Linked DNA regions of Arabidopsis thaliana. The protein of the gene in region 1 interacts with the protein of each later gene in a pairwise test. Each region holds a gene or a part of one and is shown in the gene's direction. Other genes may lie near its edges.

Region 1 (11,374 bases):
CAGAGATGCAACAACTCAATGAAGAGGAAGATGAGATCGAAGTGAAGTGTTTTGGAGCTGAAGAACACGATGAGGCTTATTTGCTTAAGCAGCATCAGAATGAGAGTTAAGAACAGAGTCAAATGATGATGATTTGGGTTGTTATTGACAATAGGGTTCCATACTTCAATTATAGGAAGATGGGGTCATAGTTATAATTTTTGTAAAAGAAAAGTACTGAAGTGAAATATACCGGTAGATAACATTTACAAGAACAGAGTAAAAGGAAAATTACTGATTTTTGTTTTTGTAAGGAAAAATATTAATGAGTATTGAATGATTATTCGCTTTCTTAATTTGCAAATCCCATAATAAAATTAATGTGGAGTATTAATTTGGTAAAAACATTAGACTTAGTTAATACCGAACCGGACTTAAACCGGATTCCGACAGAACAAGAGGCAGGCGCGTCAGTATATTGGAGTTATTTCCAATTTTGGGTTCTGATAATTGAACTTTACTCTTCTTTCTCTCCCAAACTTTTATACACAAGAGAAGATCCAACTCTCTCTCTTCTTCATCGTTGAAGTCACTTCCAATGTCGGACTGAAGAAGAGAAACCAGAAGAATCGTGACCTAAATGCAACTGTACAGATTCTTCAGTTAGTTGCAAAGATCGAAGAAATAGCTGTTTTTGTAGGGTTACTTTGCCAATTTCCTAATTCTAGGTATCTTCTTTTTCTTCTTAGCCTTTTTTCTCTCAGAGTCAAAATTCAGCAAGCAAAAGAAAGATAAAAACTTTCTCTTTTTGTTGTTTGTTGTAACGTATACAAGACTGGATTTTTATTCTTTTTATTTTATGGGTTTCTCGAAAGATTCGTGCTTTCATTGTAAAGTGTCTAGAATCCTATTTCTCTCTACTGGGTTTGGGTTCTTATACTCAATTAGCTGATTTGAAGTGTTTTTGGTACTTTAGATCTTACTGTTAGACACATCAAGAATCTCCACTGTTTGATATATGTTGTCCTTCATGTCCCCAGAGATCTAATTGATTCGAGCAATGTTGTCTTTTAGTTGCGGAATTTATTTGTTGTGTTCGATTGTGAAAATTTACAAGTTCATTTTGTCTATATTTCAGCTGTCTCTTTGTTTCCCTCTAGGATTTTTCAAAAATTAGGACCACTCAGTTTCTTTTGTAAGATCCAATTTCGCCTTTCGTTTTCAGGATTTTGACTTGGCAAGTAGTAACATATTATAAATTTATTCATTTTCAACTAAAGTGATATGTTTTTGGTGTTTGGTGTTATAGACTAATTGAGTGATAGCAACATCAAGGAAGCAGAAGCAAGTTTTGGTTTTTGTTTGTCAATGGATAAAGCTTCCTCACAAGAGTGTCCTTATCCAGGATGTTTCTTCTGTGTAATGAAAGAAGGAAACCCGAGTAAACGAAGATCCTGCATTCTCAAATTCTTTAGAGATCTTCCTTCTCAAGACGATGATGGTCAAGTTCTTCCCATTAGTGGTCTCTGGAACACAGCAATGGCTCATCCTAATGATCCTGAGTTCATTGAGCTTGGAATCTTTGAGTGTATGTCTGCTTTGATATGGAAAGGACTTAAAAACCGGCGTTGGCTATCTCATGACCAGAACATATACATTCCTTACTACGCGGCTCACATTATCGGGTCTTACACTATGAACATGGAAGAGTTTGCTGAGAGAGCTGTAGAAGCTGGTGTGATTCCTCCACTTGTTGAGCTTTTAAGAGGTAGGCTTACTTGGGTTGAACAGAGAGTGGCGGTTCGTGCTTTAGGGCATTTAGCTACTTACCCGAGTACTTTTCCCGCTGTTGCGGATCACGGAGAGATCCTCGAGCTTGCTATACAGTTGGCAATGAGTTCGTTGGAGATAGTTTATTCTCATTTTTACCAGTATCCGGATCGAAGGTTGAGTTACCATTGTGATCTGCTTACACGAGGCATGGGAGGTGTAGAGATGGAGTCGAGAAAAGCAGAGGAATGGGCGAGCCAGTTGCAGTGTTGGTCTCTTCAGCTCATAAACTGTTTCGCTTTTAAACCCGAGTTTCTTCCCACTTTGTGTAAACCTGAGTTCTTGGTGAATCTTCCAGTTATGTGGGGAGGACTTGTGAATGAGAACTCGCCTGCTGGTATCGGTTTGCTTAGAACAATCTGTCAGCATAAACTAGGTCGTGGACCTGTCTCTGCATGTGCAGGAATGATTGAGGCCTTGTGTAATATCGCTCGTTCTTCTGATGATTGGCAGTATATGGCGATTGAATGTCTTCTTTGGTTGCTTCAAGATCCTAATACGTCTCACAAGGTGATTGATAAGGCGGTGCCAACGCTTGTAGATCTTGCAGAGATCACAAACTTGGGTGATCACAAGAAACTTGGAGATTCCATTGTGAGTGTTCTTCAAGAATGCAGCTCAATGGGTAACCGTTCAAGGGAATTGATCGAAGAAACGGTAAATTCTCGACAGAGACTGAAATGGGAGAAGAGTATGCCTAAAGAGGACCTTCATATCAAACAAGCAGCAGCTTTAGTGGTCAAACTCGAAGGAAACTCTCTCTTTTCATCAGGAGATATCGCGGGTGCAGCGGAAAAGTACTCGGAAGCTTTGTCTCTATGCCCAATGAGGTCGAAGAAGGAAAGAGTAGTGTTGTATAGCAATCGAGCTCAGTGTCATCTCTTGCTACAACAGCCTTTGGTTGCTATAAGTGACGCTACACGTGCGCTTTGCTTGCACAATCCTGTAAACCGGCATGCTAAGAGTCTTTGGAGAAGAGCTCAGGCTTATGATATGTTAGGTCTAGCTAAAGAGAGTTTGTTAGATGCGATTCTGTTCATCAACGAATGTTCTCAGTCGAATGATCCGGATCTCTCCATGAGACAGAACAAGGTTCCTGATTACGCAGAGAGGTTGGTGAAGAAACAGATGCGTGCAGCTTGGTTGTTTAAAGAAGCGGCATTGAAGCATGGAGGTGTGCATAGGAAAGGTGAAGAGAGGGAAGTGTATGGAAATGAAACAGATGATTCGGAATGGGAAACAGCGAGTGAGAGTGATATAGGAGATGATGGAAGGGATCATATGGGACTTGATGATGAGGAGGAGGAGGAGGAAGATGAAGGTCACGGTGAGAAGTGGAAGAACCGGGATAAATCGAGTGAGAAAAATGAGAAAACTTCTGCCAAAGGTGAGATTCTTGCATGATTATGATCAACACATTGTTGTCTTGATTTCAAATTAGTTAATGGTTTATTGGTGACACAATCTATGAATTTGTTCAGGTATGAGGCATGGATACAGCATAAAGCTTGCAGAAGATGAAATATGAAACCTTGAAACACAACAAGGTCGTTACAAGAAGTTGAAGAACAGAGAAGACGTTGAATGGGTTTGAGTCTTTTTTACAAGCAAGAAACTTGCTTCATGGATATCGTAAGTTTTCTTTTACTTTTTTTTTTTTTTTTCGTTTCTTTATTTAGTTTTGTGTGATTGTAGGATTTGTGGTAAAATTTTATCCATTTTGAAGGAGTAAAGAAGAAAGGAACAATTGTTTTGTTTTTTCAGTGATTTTATTTATTTTTATTTTGTGGTGTATTTATTCAGAGACAAAGAGGAGTTCCAATTTGTAAAAAAATATTTTTTCCTTATATTAAGAAATGATTTGTGATTGAGAGAGATATTTTTTTTTGGGGGTCAATGATTGGCCGAGATTGTAGATTAAAAAACATTTTAAATGGATATTCGCACGTTAGCTAATACAGTAATAAAAAATTTGTACAAAGATAGAGAATTTTTGTGGGTCTTAGCTTATTGGATTGCGATATTGTAAAGTAAAAGTTTTGAAAAATGGAAGATCTGCATTTAGTCCACCGAGGATCATATGCATAGTCGATATTGACACAAGAGTGAAATTTGATTGGAGGAAAGAGGATATGTACCAAGCCACTATTTACCTTTTTTTTACGTCAGGCTCTTGAGATGATCTTCTTAGTTTTGATGTCTTTTTGCAAATTGCAGTGACGTTTTCTAAATTGGTACACTAAGTTTAAAAATGCTGTCCTTTGGATAACTCCAACGGATGATATGAACTAAAACAATGCTGTCCTTTCATATTATGTAAGAAAACACTCACTCGGTTAACTATGAGCAACCCACTACAAGTAAGTATTGTAAAAACGTTTTTTTCTTTCAAATTCCAAGTATTTTTTAAATTTTGTAATAGAAAATAATGATTTGGGTTTTGTAAGTTAGTATTAGGATTTAGATTTTTTTAAATAGTAACGAAAGTGTTTGATAAAAAAGTAAATAGTAACGAAAGTAACCTAAATTGACATTTCCATTACCCTTGAGATGATCAAAATAAACACAATTTCTGCATGATTATGAGTTTATGACTATGCTTATTAGCAATGATTTGTTCTTTCTATAATTTAAAACCAGTTGAAACTAAAATTGTTTTTGTAAAATTTAATAGATGATATTATTAGTATACAAAACTTTTGTCAACAATGAATTGTGTGATAAGAGTTTTTTTGGAGATTTTCTTATGTAATAAAGTCTATCTTGTATGACTACAATTGATCATGGGATTCGTGGCTAATATTTTTTGTAATTATATCTTTTGAGTCAAATTCCATACTCATTTTAATATATGCAATCGAATGTATCTACTAATAATTTGTTCTTATTTAATTTGATTCTGTTGACTCTGTTCCAAAACAACTTTCGGCTATTGGATGTGTCCACGCGAAATGTAATATAATAATGATCAAGTCTTCAAAATGGCACACCTTAATTTCTTTTTGCAAATTATAAAAATTCTTTATATGGTGATCCTACGTATCTATCTAATTATCTCCCAAAACTATGGGCAAGAGTCATTATTAAAATCGACCCTTGGTCTTTTGAGATGCTCAAGAGTTTTAATTTCTAAAATATTAAGCCTTCACTAACATGATTAGAAAAAAATAAAAAGTTAAAAACATGATTAGAAATTTAGAATATTTTAATAAGTACAATGTGGAAATCTAGTGTAAACTTTCCTCGAACATTCCCCATAGATTTATATAAATAGCTAGTGAGAATTTGTTCATGCACATATTCATCACAAAGGAACTCACTGCTCTTAAATTTGCTCTAATTGTTATTACCTTGGTAAATAATATATTCTTGGTTCGATTCGAAATTTTCAAGCAAATGGGTATCGTTGAAAACATTCGTTCCCTTAAATTTGAAGTGAAAATCGTGGAAGCTAGAAACGTAGAGCTCAAGTCATCGCCAACCACTCTCTTCGTTAGGTTCTATCTCCATGCAGGGAATAACAGTAAGATTGAACTAAACACTCCAGAGATCCGTTCGAGATCAGACTGTGAGGTCATTTCCTGGAACCAATCATTCGGTCTGGAGTGCCAAGGGAACGAAACCGCGGTCGAGGAATTGAAGCAACAAAGTGTTGTTTTCGAACTACGGAGAAGGAAAACGACGCCGTTTTTGAAGAAGTGGTCGAAATCAGAGTTGGTGGGTAGAGGAAAGATTTTTTGGAAATCGGTTATAGAGACTGATGGGATGGAAATAGAGAGATTTGTAGTGATGGATGAGACAAAAGATCACGTTCTGGAAGATTGTGATAAGCATAAACCTCTTTTGTTGAAGATAGCTTTAAAAGTGCAAGCTTCAAAAATCGTGAACACTAAGAGAGTGGAAGATCTTTGTGAGTGTAAAGATTGTAGAACATGTAACTGCGTAGATTATGAAGCTTTTGTTGTAGCTTGTGCGTTAGCTGGGATTTAGTTTGTAAGAATAAAATTTAAAGAAGAGATGATTCAAAGAAACCAGAATAAGTTGTTGCAGTAAAATGTAAAAACTAAGGACCAAAGTTCAAAGAAAATGAAAAACAAATAACAACTGTCTTATAAAAGACTATGAAACGATGATGTTGTTTCAAGCATGGTCATGTCCAAGAAGGGCGAGAAGCATATCCTTGTAGTCACCAGAAGTGTCATTAGCAATGGCTCGATCAAGAGGAACACTGTTCCTGCGTAAGTATTCTTCTTTGATCCGCTCCAGGTCGACCTCTGCTCTTGTAGTGACCACTCTAGTAAGTGCCCACTCGTCTGTTCCCATCCTGTTGATGGCTCGACGTAGAACCTTCTCAAAGTACTTCTCTGGATATGTCAAGCATTTGATCGCGGTTTTGAGTAATTGAACATAATCATCGTTCGAATCTTCTTTGAGAAACTTGTTAATGGAACTTCCAAACTTGTCCTTGAAGTGATTGAGTGTTGCATTGATCTGTGCTTTGCTCCTTGTTGTCAAGATTCTGATGAGATCTTCATCAGTGTAAGCCTTCTCAGTGATCTTCTTGTGAAGTGTCTTAGCTTCGGATCTAGCCAGCTTCACGTTGACCTCATCAGCATTTCCATCGTACCTGAAGGTGCTCACAAGAGGAACCAATAGCTGCATTTTTACAAGTGGTCAAAACAAAACAACATATCATCAGAAACTTACTAATTGGTTTAAAGAATGATATACATAAATCTTTCACTACCTTTCGGATATTTCCAGATGTATGGTATGCAACATCTTCCTCGAGAGAGGTCTTGTAGCGAACATGGTATGCTTGCTTGGTCTTGAAAAACTCAAGAGAAGGTCTAGTACAAGCGATTTCAACTAGGACCCAAATGTTTTTGGTGAACAATTTGGTAGATTCATTGGCCAAATACGCATCTCTCTCCGTTGGATCAAGAGTCCACAACATCACAACTCTCTGTTTTCAAGCAAAGTAAGATGTTCAAAATAAGATGAAGAAATATAGATTTTGTATCTTTTAGTTTTGACAAACCTCAAAGTCACCAGAAAGCTCTCCGTCTAATTCCTTGAGAAGATCCTTATTGTAGTTAGCAGCATAAACGGCACGAATGAAACTGCGTTGCGTTGCGTTTCTATGAGCCAAAATTGATATGATCATCCCTTCATTAGTTCCCCATCCTGCGCCACACAAAAACAAATTTCAAACCCAAGTTTAGTCAGATAGAGAGTATGTAACAAAACCTAACTAAACCAAACCAAAATTTTACGACAGTTAGAAATTAACTGTAAATATACAAGAAAGCTGATGTTCGCTAGTAGAAAAAAAACCAAGCTTGAAAAAATCTTAGAAGATTATTAGAATTTTTTTTTTGGGTTTAAATCTGAATAAAAAAATTGTTACGAAAGCAACAAGTTAATCTGTTTAAAAGAGTTGTCTAATCGTCGATTACAAACCAAACGGTCAGGAAACGCTCCAACATAAAATCAATTGCATCCAAAATCAGCAAAAGAGTAAATAATATGTCACACAATTTTGCACCGTAACAAAAGAATCATGCAATGGAGTATAACCACAAAACTTCACGAAGTTAAGACTTCCTAAGAATCATTTGAAAAACGAAATAAAAAAGAGCTAACTTATCATCCACTTCTTAAAATTAAACCTATATACGTGTCATCAACCAAACCAGCAAGCTAGATCAGTAGATCAGACCTGTCATGATAATAGATTGAACTATTGATAATCAACCCAATTAAATAATATCAAAATGCAAATGATTCAATCAAAGCATGAATGTGAAGGCCTAGTATTTAACTTTTACTAAATCAATCTAACAATGAAGGGATGGATCATGAAAACCTTTGAATGCCTTGTGGAGCTGCTCGGAGTCTTCTTCGGGAAGAGGAATATTTGCTGGAATTTTGAGAGACGCCATTCTCCGACCACTGAATATTTCTCTAGCTCTCTAGATGAGACGAAGAAAATGTGGGACGAGGAACATGCACACTGTCTTAAATAATGAAATGATATCCCAATTTTTTATATTTTATTAATTATTTTTGTTAAAAATTAGATTTAGCAATCTATGTAAATCAGTAAAAGAGGAAAAAATTATTAATACAGGCTGTCTACAGTGGATAGAATTGATAAAACAAGTATAATGTTTTGCATTTTTTTGTCATAAAGCTGAATATTAAATGGAAATTGCACATTTTCTTAAATAATGAACTGAAATCTCAAATTTTGTTAATTATTAATCAATTTTGTTTTAAAATAGACTTAACAATTTAAGTAAATTAGTAAAATGAGAGATTTTATTAATACAATTACAGGCTGTATACAGTGAACAGAAATGAAAAAACAAGAATCATGTTTTGGGTTTTTGTCATAAAGCTGGATTTTAAATGCACTTTAAACAGCTTAAATATGGGATTACATAGGTACCGAAATTTAACTTTTAATTTATTTATTTTTTCTGTTATATAATACACGCATATTCCTTAATTAATTTCATTATTTGGATATTTCATTATTTGGACATGGATTATAACACATGGCGGACAAAACATTAGAACCAATATTGTTCATTTTAACAAGATGTATTAAGTATGGGTTTAGCTTTAATTTTAAAACCATATAATTAAGGGGAAAATTATAACTCATTAGTTTATACTAAATTAATTATAAATAGATCAATAATAATTTTTGATATGGTTTTATAATTTTTAGATTTAAAAAAAAAAATAACTGAAAACATCGACGACAAATGAAACTGAAGACACTAAATTCTTAACATGACCAAGTTGCAAGTCCAACCACAACTGTTTTATTAAACACAAAGCGATAAAATTTAGTTTTTTTTCTTAAACAAAACTTGCAAATGTTATTTCAAGCATGGTCATGTCCGAGAAGAGCGAGAAGTATATCCTCATAGTCACCATGAGTGTCTTTAGCAATGGCTCGATCAAGAGGAACACTGTTTCTACGTATATATTCCTCTTTGATCCGTTCCATGTCAAACTCTGCTCGTGTAGTGACCACTCTCGTTAGTCCCCACTCATCTGTTCCCAATTTGTTGATGGCTTGACGTAGAACTTTCTCAAAATACTTCTCTGGATATGTCAAGCATTTGATCACGGCTTTGAGCAATTGAATGTATTCGTTTTCCGAATCCTCCTTTAGGTATTTGCTCATGGAAGTTCCGAAATTGTTTTTGTAGTGATTGAGAGTTGCGCTGATTTGTGCTTTGCTCCTGGTTGTCAAGATTCTTATGAGATCATCATCAGCATAAGCCTTTTCCTTGATCTTCTCGTGAAGTATCTTAGCCTCGGACCTAGCTAACGTCATGTTCACTTCATCTCCATCGTACCTAAAAGTGCTCACAAGAGGTACCAAGAGCTGCATAAACAAAAACATATGTCACAAATTTATATGCATTCTTGACATAGTTATACGAACTGAGTTTGTTAGCTAGGAATCTTAATTACATCAATAAACATATGAGATTTCATCTAGTATACAAAATAGATGAACTAGATACATTTGATTTTATTGGATATCTCAGATGGAATTAAGCTCATGAAACTTTCACATAATTAATTATATAATACCTTTCGAATGTCTCCAGATGTGTGGTATGCGACGTCTTCCTCGAGGGAGGTCTTGTAGCGGGCTTGGTATGCTTGCTTGGCATTAAAGAGTTCAAGAGCAGATCTAGTACAAGCGATTTCGACAAGAACCCAATTGTTTTTGGTGAACATTTTGGTAGATTCTTTTGCCAAATAAGCATCTCTCTCCGCTGGTTCAAAAGTCCACAACATCACAGCTCGCTGTTTTGTTTACAAAAAAAGAAAACATAGTTAAACAGATCAGTAGACTAAAACCAAAAGAAGACGAATATATAAAGATGTTGTCTCAAATTAAAACCTCAAAGTCACCGGAAAGCTCTCTGTCTAATTCCTTGAGAAGATCCTTATTGTAGTTAGCAGCATAAACGGCACGAATGAAACTACGTTGCGTTGCATTTCTGTGAGCCAAGATTGATATGATCATCCTCTCATTGGTTCCCCATCCTGCATTAGACAAATTCACAATTACATTAAAGAAAAATAGAGTCAGAATCATGTTTGAAATCATTCATCAGTATTAGATTGAAAAAGATATATAATTCTAGTAAAATTTATCTCGTTTCATCAATTTTTGAAAGGTCTATTAAATACTAATAGATTATTTTTGATGATAGGAGTAATTTTAACCAAATTAAATAAATCCATACCATAAACCAAACTAGATCTATATACTATATAGATCAACGAATATATACAGACACATGATCGATCAGATAAGAGGGTATAGTTGAAATAGATTACGCTATGACCAACCAAACTGATAGAGGATTCAATCGAAGAAGGCGAATGCTAGACTAGTTATAACCAAAAGATTAATGAAGGGGTATAGAGAAGGACATAAACCTTTAAAGGCTTTGTAGAGTTGCTCAGCGTCTTCTTCGGGAAGAGGAACAGTGGCGGGAACTTTGAGAGAAGCCATTTTTCGAACAAGTGAAATTTCTGTATGTTCTTGTTTTTTGTTGTCTAGATGATGAGGTAGATAGAGCTCGTGTTGTCTTACTTAAATAATGAGATGGCAATTAAAGTTTCAATAAAAAAGTTTTTGTATAAAGATGTATTTTGATAAAGAGACTTAGTAATTTTTAATGAATTAAATGAATGGAAAAGGTAGTAAATCAACTGAAAATATTATTGAATAGTAAATTTGTTGACTATATAAGTGAAGTATTAAAAGCCTATCTATTTTAGTTAAAAGGAAAGAAATCAAGATAGCTGGCAGAAAATGAATTTAATTAAGTTGAATAAATTTCAAGGGAAGTATTTATATATATAGAGTGGGACAGAAACTTATGATTTTGATTGTGAATGACACGTTTGAGTTTGGCCTTGACATATGAAGAGTATACACAACTTTTTTTTTTTTTACTTTTATAATTATGTTTAGTGGATATCTATGATTTATATTTATTAACATAATATTGTTGTTTTAATTTTTTTTTTGGAAAAAAACTTTGATTAGATTTTTTTAAAAATTTGATTACTCAATAATTAATTATTTTAAGCTATATATTAAATAGACCTTTAAAGGTCCATGTGACAAGTTTATAATTATAGGAATTTTCCGGAGACAAAACAAGATTTTCATTGCTTATGTCATTTGTTCTTGTTTAACTCCAAGAATCACGTGGTTAGTGCTAAGCTTAACGTTTAAGGAGCAGTTATTTTATTGGCAACCAAATACTGATTATCGACTAATTAAAAGAATCGTAACGTCAAATATCTAATTGGTGTAGTTTATATGTTATAAAATATGTTATGGATAAACAACCCACAAGAAAGTTATAAGAATTGTAATGAATTTCAAATTTTCATTAGACCGTAAAAACAGATCTGGCGCGAAAAAAATTAAAAGGAAGATTAAATAAAAGAACAACGACTCTGCTGGGGATCGAACCCAGAATCTCTGGTTTCGTAGACCAGCGCCTTA
Region 2 (7,539 bases), on another chromosome or scaffold:
TTGTGAGTTATTTGGCAGCAAAAGCCTAAATTATTACTAGAAGATAATGGAAGGAAAAGTAATGTATCGGAGAAAAGAAGAATATCAATATTCCTTGACATCTATTTTCTCCCACTTCTTTTTCTTTTGCCACCTCTTTTCATTTCTAATTTTTTTCCTACATCGTAAATTCTTATATGAAACAAAATAAAACAAAAAAAGTTCCATTTATACACTCATGTTAAGTCACACACACAAAAATAAAAGTTTATGTAACATACGGGCATTTTGCATAATATGTCAATTCAATTTTTTCCCATAGAATTTCACAATAAATCACATGCAGTTGTACGTATTTTCATGTACTTACTCTGTTTCGGTTGCATCTACAAAGTCCGATTTTAACAAATTCGTTTAGTTTCGATTCAGTATTGGTCCCGTGAATTATTTGGAGTTTTGTATAAATTGATTAATAATATATGTGATGAAAGAGTTGGTGCCTTTGACGTACGGCATAGACTTAGAGTATAGAGACGTGGTGGTCTTGTGTAACTCAAGTGTTGTCATGTCGGAGTCACTGTGGGACTGCTCTACTCGAATCTAATTTGGGCCTTTCTGAAACCCTAAAACCGATTTTGTTCCAATCTCAGTTTGGACCCCTCTTCTCTCACCTTAGATGGGCTTTTGGATCCTCGATTCTTCTCCTCTGTTTTCCTTTTTGTTTTTATGTTTCTTAACCCATCAAAGAGTTTAATAATTGAAAAGAAAAAGAGTTTGATCGGTTTTATCTAAAAAATCTATATAGCAGCCATTTTGTGAAATAAATCCTATAGTTGGGAATTATTTACAATAACTGCCACTAGATTTTAATGTTTGTTTTTGATAATTAGAAAAAAAAATCTTTGAATAATTAAATATTTGACATTTAACAATCTTCCCTAAATCTCTCAACATTAACTACACGATTAGTTACTAAAATAAAACTTGCAAAATATTTAATATCATTTAATTATTACAAAATTATTATTTTTGATATTGCTTTTCTCCATGACTATAATAATTCGATTATAATCATCAAACCGCAGAGATATTTGATAGCATTTAATTACTACAAAATTACAAAATATTTAGACAATAATTCATAAACATATCATAAATAAGATCAATATTAATAAAATAAATAGTTTTTTACGGGACGGGTTGGCGGGACGGGTTTGGCAAGACGTTACTTAATAACAATTGTAAACTATAAAATAATTTTTTTTATAGATAGATACAATTTGTAAACTTTTATGTATACTAACTTTTAGAAAATATCTAGTAAGGTTTAAAAGTGAACCAAACCACAATAAAGTGTTTCTTATAGAGTGATTATCCCAAGACTTGTAAGTCTTAATTCTCGGTTTAACCCTCAAATATACTTTAAAAGGTTAGAAAATGTTGCATTTACTAGATTTTTAAAGTTATCAAAAAGTTTTTGGAGAAACAAAAAACATATTGTGGATTCCAGATAAACTAGACAGTAGTCGCATATATAGATGTATAGATGTAAGTTAATTTAACAAATGATTTCTTAATATCTATTGGTTTTAGATTTTCAATTAGTATTGAATTTTTATTTTAGAGATGGTTCACTACTACGATAGATCAATTAAAACGTTAAAATGAATATAAGTTCTGACAATGGACAAAATGAAACACTGGTTTAAAGAATGAGTAAGATATCTTTGTTAATAGCAAAGCAATAATTTAGTAAGGTTTTCTAACTTTCCGGTAAAACCCCGAAGTAAGTGAAAAGGTTCCCACATTTGTCTGTGTAGGTAAACAAGAACACTTGACCAAGAAAGACAATAAGAACACATGAAAACAAACACATATTTGACATATAATATGATAACTTCTATTTGCTTGTTTGTGAAATGTAGATAAAACAAAGTAAACACAAAGAAAAAATAGTGATATTCAAAAAGGAAATAGGATGGTCAAAATTGTGTGGTGAGATAAGAAAGGGCACTCACATGTTCACACGATGGAACACTAACGTGTGAGGTTAATGATTGCTTTTGCCACACTACCCATAAACTTCAGAAGGAATTTTTAAAAAAATTAGAAGTTTTTCTATAGTTTCTTTTGAGTTGAATACAAATATAACTTTAACAATAATATATAGTGCAAAAGCTAAAAATATTTCTATAAGATATACTTTTTGGTCGAGAGGTTGAGTATAGAGGGGACACCAGCTGCCCCAAAACCATCACGCTCCATGGACAAACTTTCTCCACCTTTTTTTTTCCTTCTTCTTCTTCTCTTAGTTTTCTTCAATATTATTTTATTAAATTCGCCATAAAATTATAGTTTATAGAAAACAATTATTAAAAAAGAGAGAAAGGGAAAAGGGAGAGTGATGAGAAGAGTCGGTCCTTTTTGTCTCATAGAGCCAATGGCCCATCAATTTTATTTCCTTTTGTCAGTCTCCTTTTCTCACGCTTCCTCTTCCTTTAATCCCACATTCACCTTCTTCTTCATATATATTCCAATTTACTAATGGTCTAATTGGCTATATTATTGAGTCATTTGGTTCATATATCCCCAGCCTCCCATAGAGGCAAGTTGGTGAGCCATTTTCTATAAACAAAACGGATACCTATTGAAGAAACCAGAATAGAGATACATAGCAAACATAGTATCTCTACAATATTTCAAAACACTTTCATTATAAATATAACAGATATGTACAAACCTCACTAGATACGGATACACATCATTATACATTCTAACATATTCTTCTTATTCACACGAAACTTTAGAGCCAAAATTCGATTAGTAAAATAAACTAAAAGAAAGTAAATTAAAGTAAGTTTTCAGTATTTTTGGTTAATCCTCTCAAGTCTCATCACACTTTCATTGTACATGTAGCCGTACATAATATGAAATTTGGCGTCCTAAATATACAACGTATATAAAGTGTTACTTTTTCGAATATACGTTTAAGCATTTTTGTGTCATGCATAAATGCACGTCTTTTCCATATGATCAACAAAAACAGTAGACTAGACATTTCGCTAACACTTAATTAATCTCAACTAAAAGTAAAACAGTTCGTCATAATCACATGGATATATACGAATATATAAGAAAGAAAGAAAACCAGGCACTGCTTATATTCTTTGGTCTGAAAAATGTGGTCAAATGTACACATTTAGAAAGACATGAACAAAGAAAGAGATAGGAGAGTTTGGATTCATTTGGGGACAAAGGTGACATAAGGGTCGCTTTGAAACTCACAGCATACAAACATAGACCTTCTCTTCACTATATATACATATATATTCACATGTATAGTGTGTATATGTAAATCGAAGTACCCTAGTTTCTTTTGGACTTCACCAATCACATCTGTTACTTAGATTCTTCTACGTCGACAAATATTCCCACAATCTCAAAACCCTAGTCATCACACCAACAACCAAAAAGATATATATAAATAGAGGAAAATAACATGACAAATATTCTTTATATATAATATAGATCTTTTTCTTTTTCTTGAAAAAGAAAAAAAAAAGAAAAGAAAAAGAACACACCAAACCTACTTACAACATTTGCTTACACTCCCAAGACTTAGTAACTAAAACCATATAACATATATATTATTAAAGAGGAATAAAAAAGGTTTTGGTAATTATAACCAAGTTAATTATGATCATACCCTATATATATTAATCAATTATAGACTTTTTAGTGTGCTCAATTCTCATCATTTCACACCATTATGATGTGATCCAGCGCACGACGCCGCTTTGACCGTTCTCCTCCTCCACCACCAGAACTACGTTCCATCAACGACTTGCTTGACCGCTCAAGCAGCGACTTGAGAGCATTTTGCAAAAAATGCACAGACTCGACGCCGTGCATCTCTTTGTCAGCAGCTACGACAAGAACACTTCTTGTCCGACCACCAATGGTTACCATCTCAGCTCGGAGAGTCTTCATGTTAAGAGACTTGAGAATCTCCATAAGGTCCGGCAAGAGATCTGATCTATCTTCACAACATAGAGAGGCTTTGAAGATTATATGACCGTCGTTTGAATAGTCTCCAAAGTGTAGAACACTAATTTCGTCGGTCTCTGATGGTAATAATGTTTGGTCGGAGTCGGAGGTCTCTAGGGTTTGCTGTTTAAGTTCTCTGACTCGTTGAACTACTTTGGCGAGCAGTGTGGCTTTATCGGTCTGAAAATAGAAACATGAAATTACAATGAAAAGTTTGGATCAAGAAGTTGAAATTTGATGTTTGTATCAAATCAAATCAACTGAAAAAGCTTGAGAACTTTCCCAAAAAGTGATATACTATCCCAACGAGCTTCACAAAAAGGCCATGAAGCTTTTCGTTTTTCTCATCTGATCACTACTCGCCAGTTTTGAATATTCAAATCAAAATATATATCAATCTTTAGAATTATAAATGTAGAAAATTAGGGATCATCTTTGATAAATATGTGCTTGTTAATAAGTAAGAATAGTAAGACAAAAAAGACTCAATTGAAACCAAATGATTATAAAATGTTATCATGAAAAAGTACAGTATTCATGAGCTAACACCAAATCGAATGAAACATGAGAAAATTTTAAAGATGTAAACTCTGGGTTAGAGAAGATGCAAAACCCTAATTATATACCCATTTCAAAAATCTTTTCTTAAAATTTCAAAGAAATATATACGTACAGATGTATAAACATCATATGTACGAGGAGAGATACATACGCCAAATGAAAAAGTATCAAAAGTTTATATTACCTTAGAATTACAAGAGAGTACGTTACGAAGCTTGTTGAGATGAGAATTGATCCTCTCTCTCCTTCTTCTCTCAGCTTCTTTGTGGTTCCTCAAAGCAGCTAAAGCTCTGTCTTGAGCCATCGTTTCTCCGATGCCGGAGATCGCCAGTGGGTAATACGATGACGTCGACGACGAAGACCCACATAAGCTCTGCATAGTCGTCATGTAGTCGCCGGAGACGCAGTACCCTCCACCGCCGACTTCGTTTCCGGCAAGAAACGAGTACAACATCTGATCTGAGGTCTCTGGTTGCATTATCTTTTGTTTGCGCCGCCTTCTTTTGGTTTTTTGTTAATTAATGGGGTTTGTGGAGCTTTCGGTGGGTTCTGTCCTAAAAGATGGATTATATATACGTGAAATGAGAGGGTAGAGAGTGTAGATTATTTTTTTTATTTTTTTTATTTTAGATGTTAAATACTTGATTTTTGTATTTATATATATATTGGTGGGGAAAAAGTTGCTATAGAGTTTGAAATTTTTAGGAAGGGTCCTTAATTAGGTCATTGTCTTGCCACCATCATCATTCTAAATAGTTCTATATGATCCATCAATTGAACTGAAGATACATACGGACTTTTGGGACTATATAGTATATTACTGCATTTCCAAAATTCAAAAATTCAAAAACAAATCTCAAAAAATTGAACATTCTTTAAATCTTTACTTATGAATAATAATGATGTTTTACCACTACCATAATAATGATCCTTTAAGTTATTATGATAAGATACCATTTCTAAGGTATTAAAGATAAACAATAAAAGGCATATCCTGATATGATTTATGCTGCTTCTATCATTGTGTTTTGTCCGGATAAATCTCACACAGTGCAATGCGATAACATAAATTTGTTATTTAACAAAAATTAAATAATATACAGTATTTGTTTTAACTTAATGTCTGGAAAAACTTGAGTATTCAAAAGCCCTAATTTTTTTTTTTTGACAACATAAAAGCCCTAAATAATCAACAAATTTGATAATCATAAGAGAAAGCTACTGCAGAAAAATAATTTACGAATGAGACAACCATATGATATGAGGAAGGCTTCGCCATAAAATATGGGCCTAAATTATATAAAAAATAAGGACCCAAATAGTGGCCCAATTACAAAGTTTTGGTAAAACGGTGACCACAAAACTGGCGCAAGCCAGAACCATGCAGTAGAGACAGAGCTCGACCTTTGACTTTGATAATGGCAGTTTCTTCGAAACATTTCCAGGTTCCTTCATCTTTCACGCTTCCTCCATCTTCTTTCTTCAGCTCCTTAATCCCTTCTTCTCCAATCTCTGTTACTGCTTCAACGATTCGAGCCTCCACAAAATTTAGCTCCATACGCGTCCGTTTCAGTCGAAGATCAATCGTCAGATACAACGACCACGCCGGAGAAGACGAAGAGGATAGTGACGAGGATAAGGAAGAATATTGGAGCTTTGAGGAAGCAGTGACTCTCTTCAACAAGAGGGATTATTACAAAAGTCATGACGCGCTTGAAGCTCTTTGGATTCAAGCAGAGGAACCAACTCGTACCTTAATCCATGGAATTCTTCAATGTGCTGTTGGATTTCACCATCTATTCAACAACGTAAATCTACTCTCCTTTTAACTCCATCTATTGCTCGTTTTCGTTCACGTTTGAGGTAATTTTAGTGAGTGTTTTGGGATTTGAAGAACCATAAAGGAGCGATGATGGAGTTAGGAGAAGGAGTATGTAAGCTAAGGAAGATGAATTTCGAAGACGGACCGTTTCATGAATTCGAGCGAGATGTCTCCGCAGTTCTTGAATTCGTTTATCAAACTCAGCTTGAACTTGCTGCCTGTAAGTTTTGAATTTTGAATTTTTGATTGAGGAAACCATTTAGCAAATTGAACCTAATTGTGACACTCAAGAAATCTGAATTGATTGATGATAGGTTCAGAAGATATGTGTTTGACGATGGATCAATCAGACAGATCGTATCAACTCTTAGGTGGTTATGCAGCTGGAGAGAGTATTTACAGCTTAGAGACTGTGCTTGACTTCAACAATGGAATGTCTGAGACAACTTCTATACTCTTCTCTCCTTTACATTCATCGTCTGAGCCAACTCGGGTTAAGCTCCCTACCCTTACCGCAACCGATAAGCATCTTCTTGCTTCTACATACGACGACAGATTCTAAAGAGAATGATCAATACGAAGATAATAGAAGAAGATCTCATTACTGTTATATTTCAAGAATCAGGTTCTGAACCTGTCAATAACATGAACAATGAGTCATTTAGACAAAAGGTAAAAACACATAACATTCCTGTCTTTTTAACCAGCAAAAACCAGCCATGAATGAAATTTTAGAACAAAGCGAAGGAACATTCTTTATGAAATTACATAAGAAGGTAGTCAAAAAAAAAAAAGGAGAAAGCCGAAGAAGTTGTTTCAATCCTCACTTAGCCATCATAACCTTCACAAACTCTTCGTAGTTGATCTGACCATCACCATCAACATCAGCTTCCTTAATCATCTCATCAACTTCTTCATCAGTAAGCTTCTCGCCGAGGTTAGTCATCACATGTCTCAATTCAGCAGCTGAGATGAAACCGTTCTGGTCTTTGTCGAAAACTCTGAAAGCTTCCTTGAGTTCTTCCTCAGAGTCAGTGTCCTTCATTTTCCTAGCCATTAGGTTCAAGAACTCCGGGAAATCAATGGTTCCGTTACCATCCGCATCAACTTCGTTGATCATGTCCTGAAGC

What was found.
Region 2: the proteins of AT5G10210 (region 1) and AT2G41120 interact in a two-hybrid assay, tested with the Arabidopsis thaliana proteins (one large-scale study listed by BioGRID).

Annotation. Positions count from the first base shown.
Region 1 is NC_003076.8:3,201,031-3,212,404, forward strand, and holds AT5G10210 (nitric oxide synthase-interacting protein), read left to right. Parts: upstream 1-5,109; 5' UTR 5,110-5,205; coding exon 5,206-5,799; 3' UTR 5,800-5,949; downstream 5,950-11,374. Other genes in the region: AT5G10190 (Major facilitator superfamily protein), read left to right, coding at 1-110; AT5G10200 (ARM-repeat/Tetratricopeptide repeat (TPR)-like protein), read left to right, coding at 1,348-3,196, 3,291-3,337; ANN6 (annexin 6), read right to left, coding at 5,950-6,465, 6,557-6,775, 6,851-6,996, 7,679-7,754; ANNAT7 (annexin 7), read right to left, coding at 8,708-9,217, 9,430-9,648, 9,746-9,891, 10,291-10,366.
Region 2 is NC_003071.7:17,140,886-17,148,424, reverse strand, and holds AT2G41120 (DUF309 domain protein), read left to right. Parts: upstream 1-5,939; 5' UTR 5,940-6,005; coding exon 6,006-6,395; intron 6,396-6,481; coding exon 6,482-6,629; intron 6,630-6,723; coding exon 6,724-6,971; 3' UTR 6,972-7,150; downstream 7,151-7,539. Other genes in the region: AT2G41130 (basic helix-loop-helix (bHLH) DNA-binding superfamily protein), read right to left, coding at 3,739-4,206, 4,772-5,065; CAM2 (calmodulin 2), read right to left, coding at 7,233-7,539.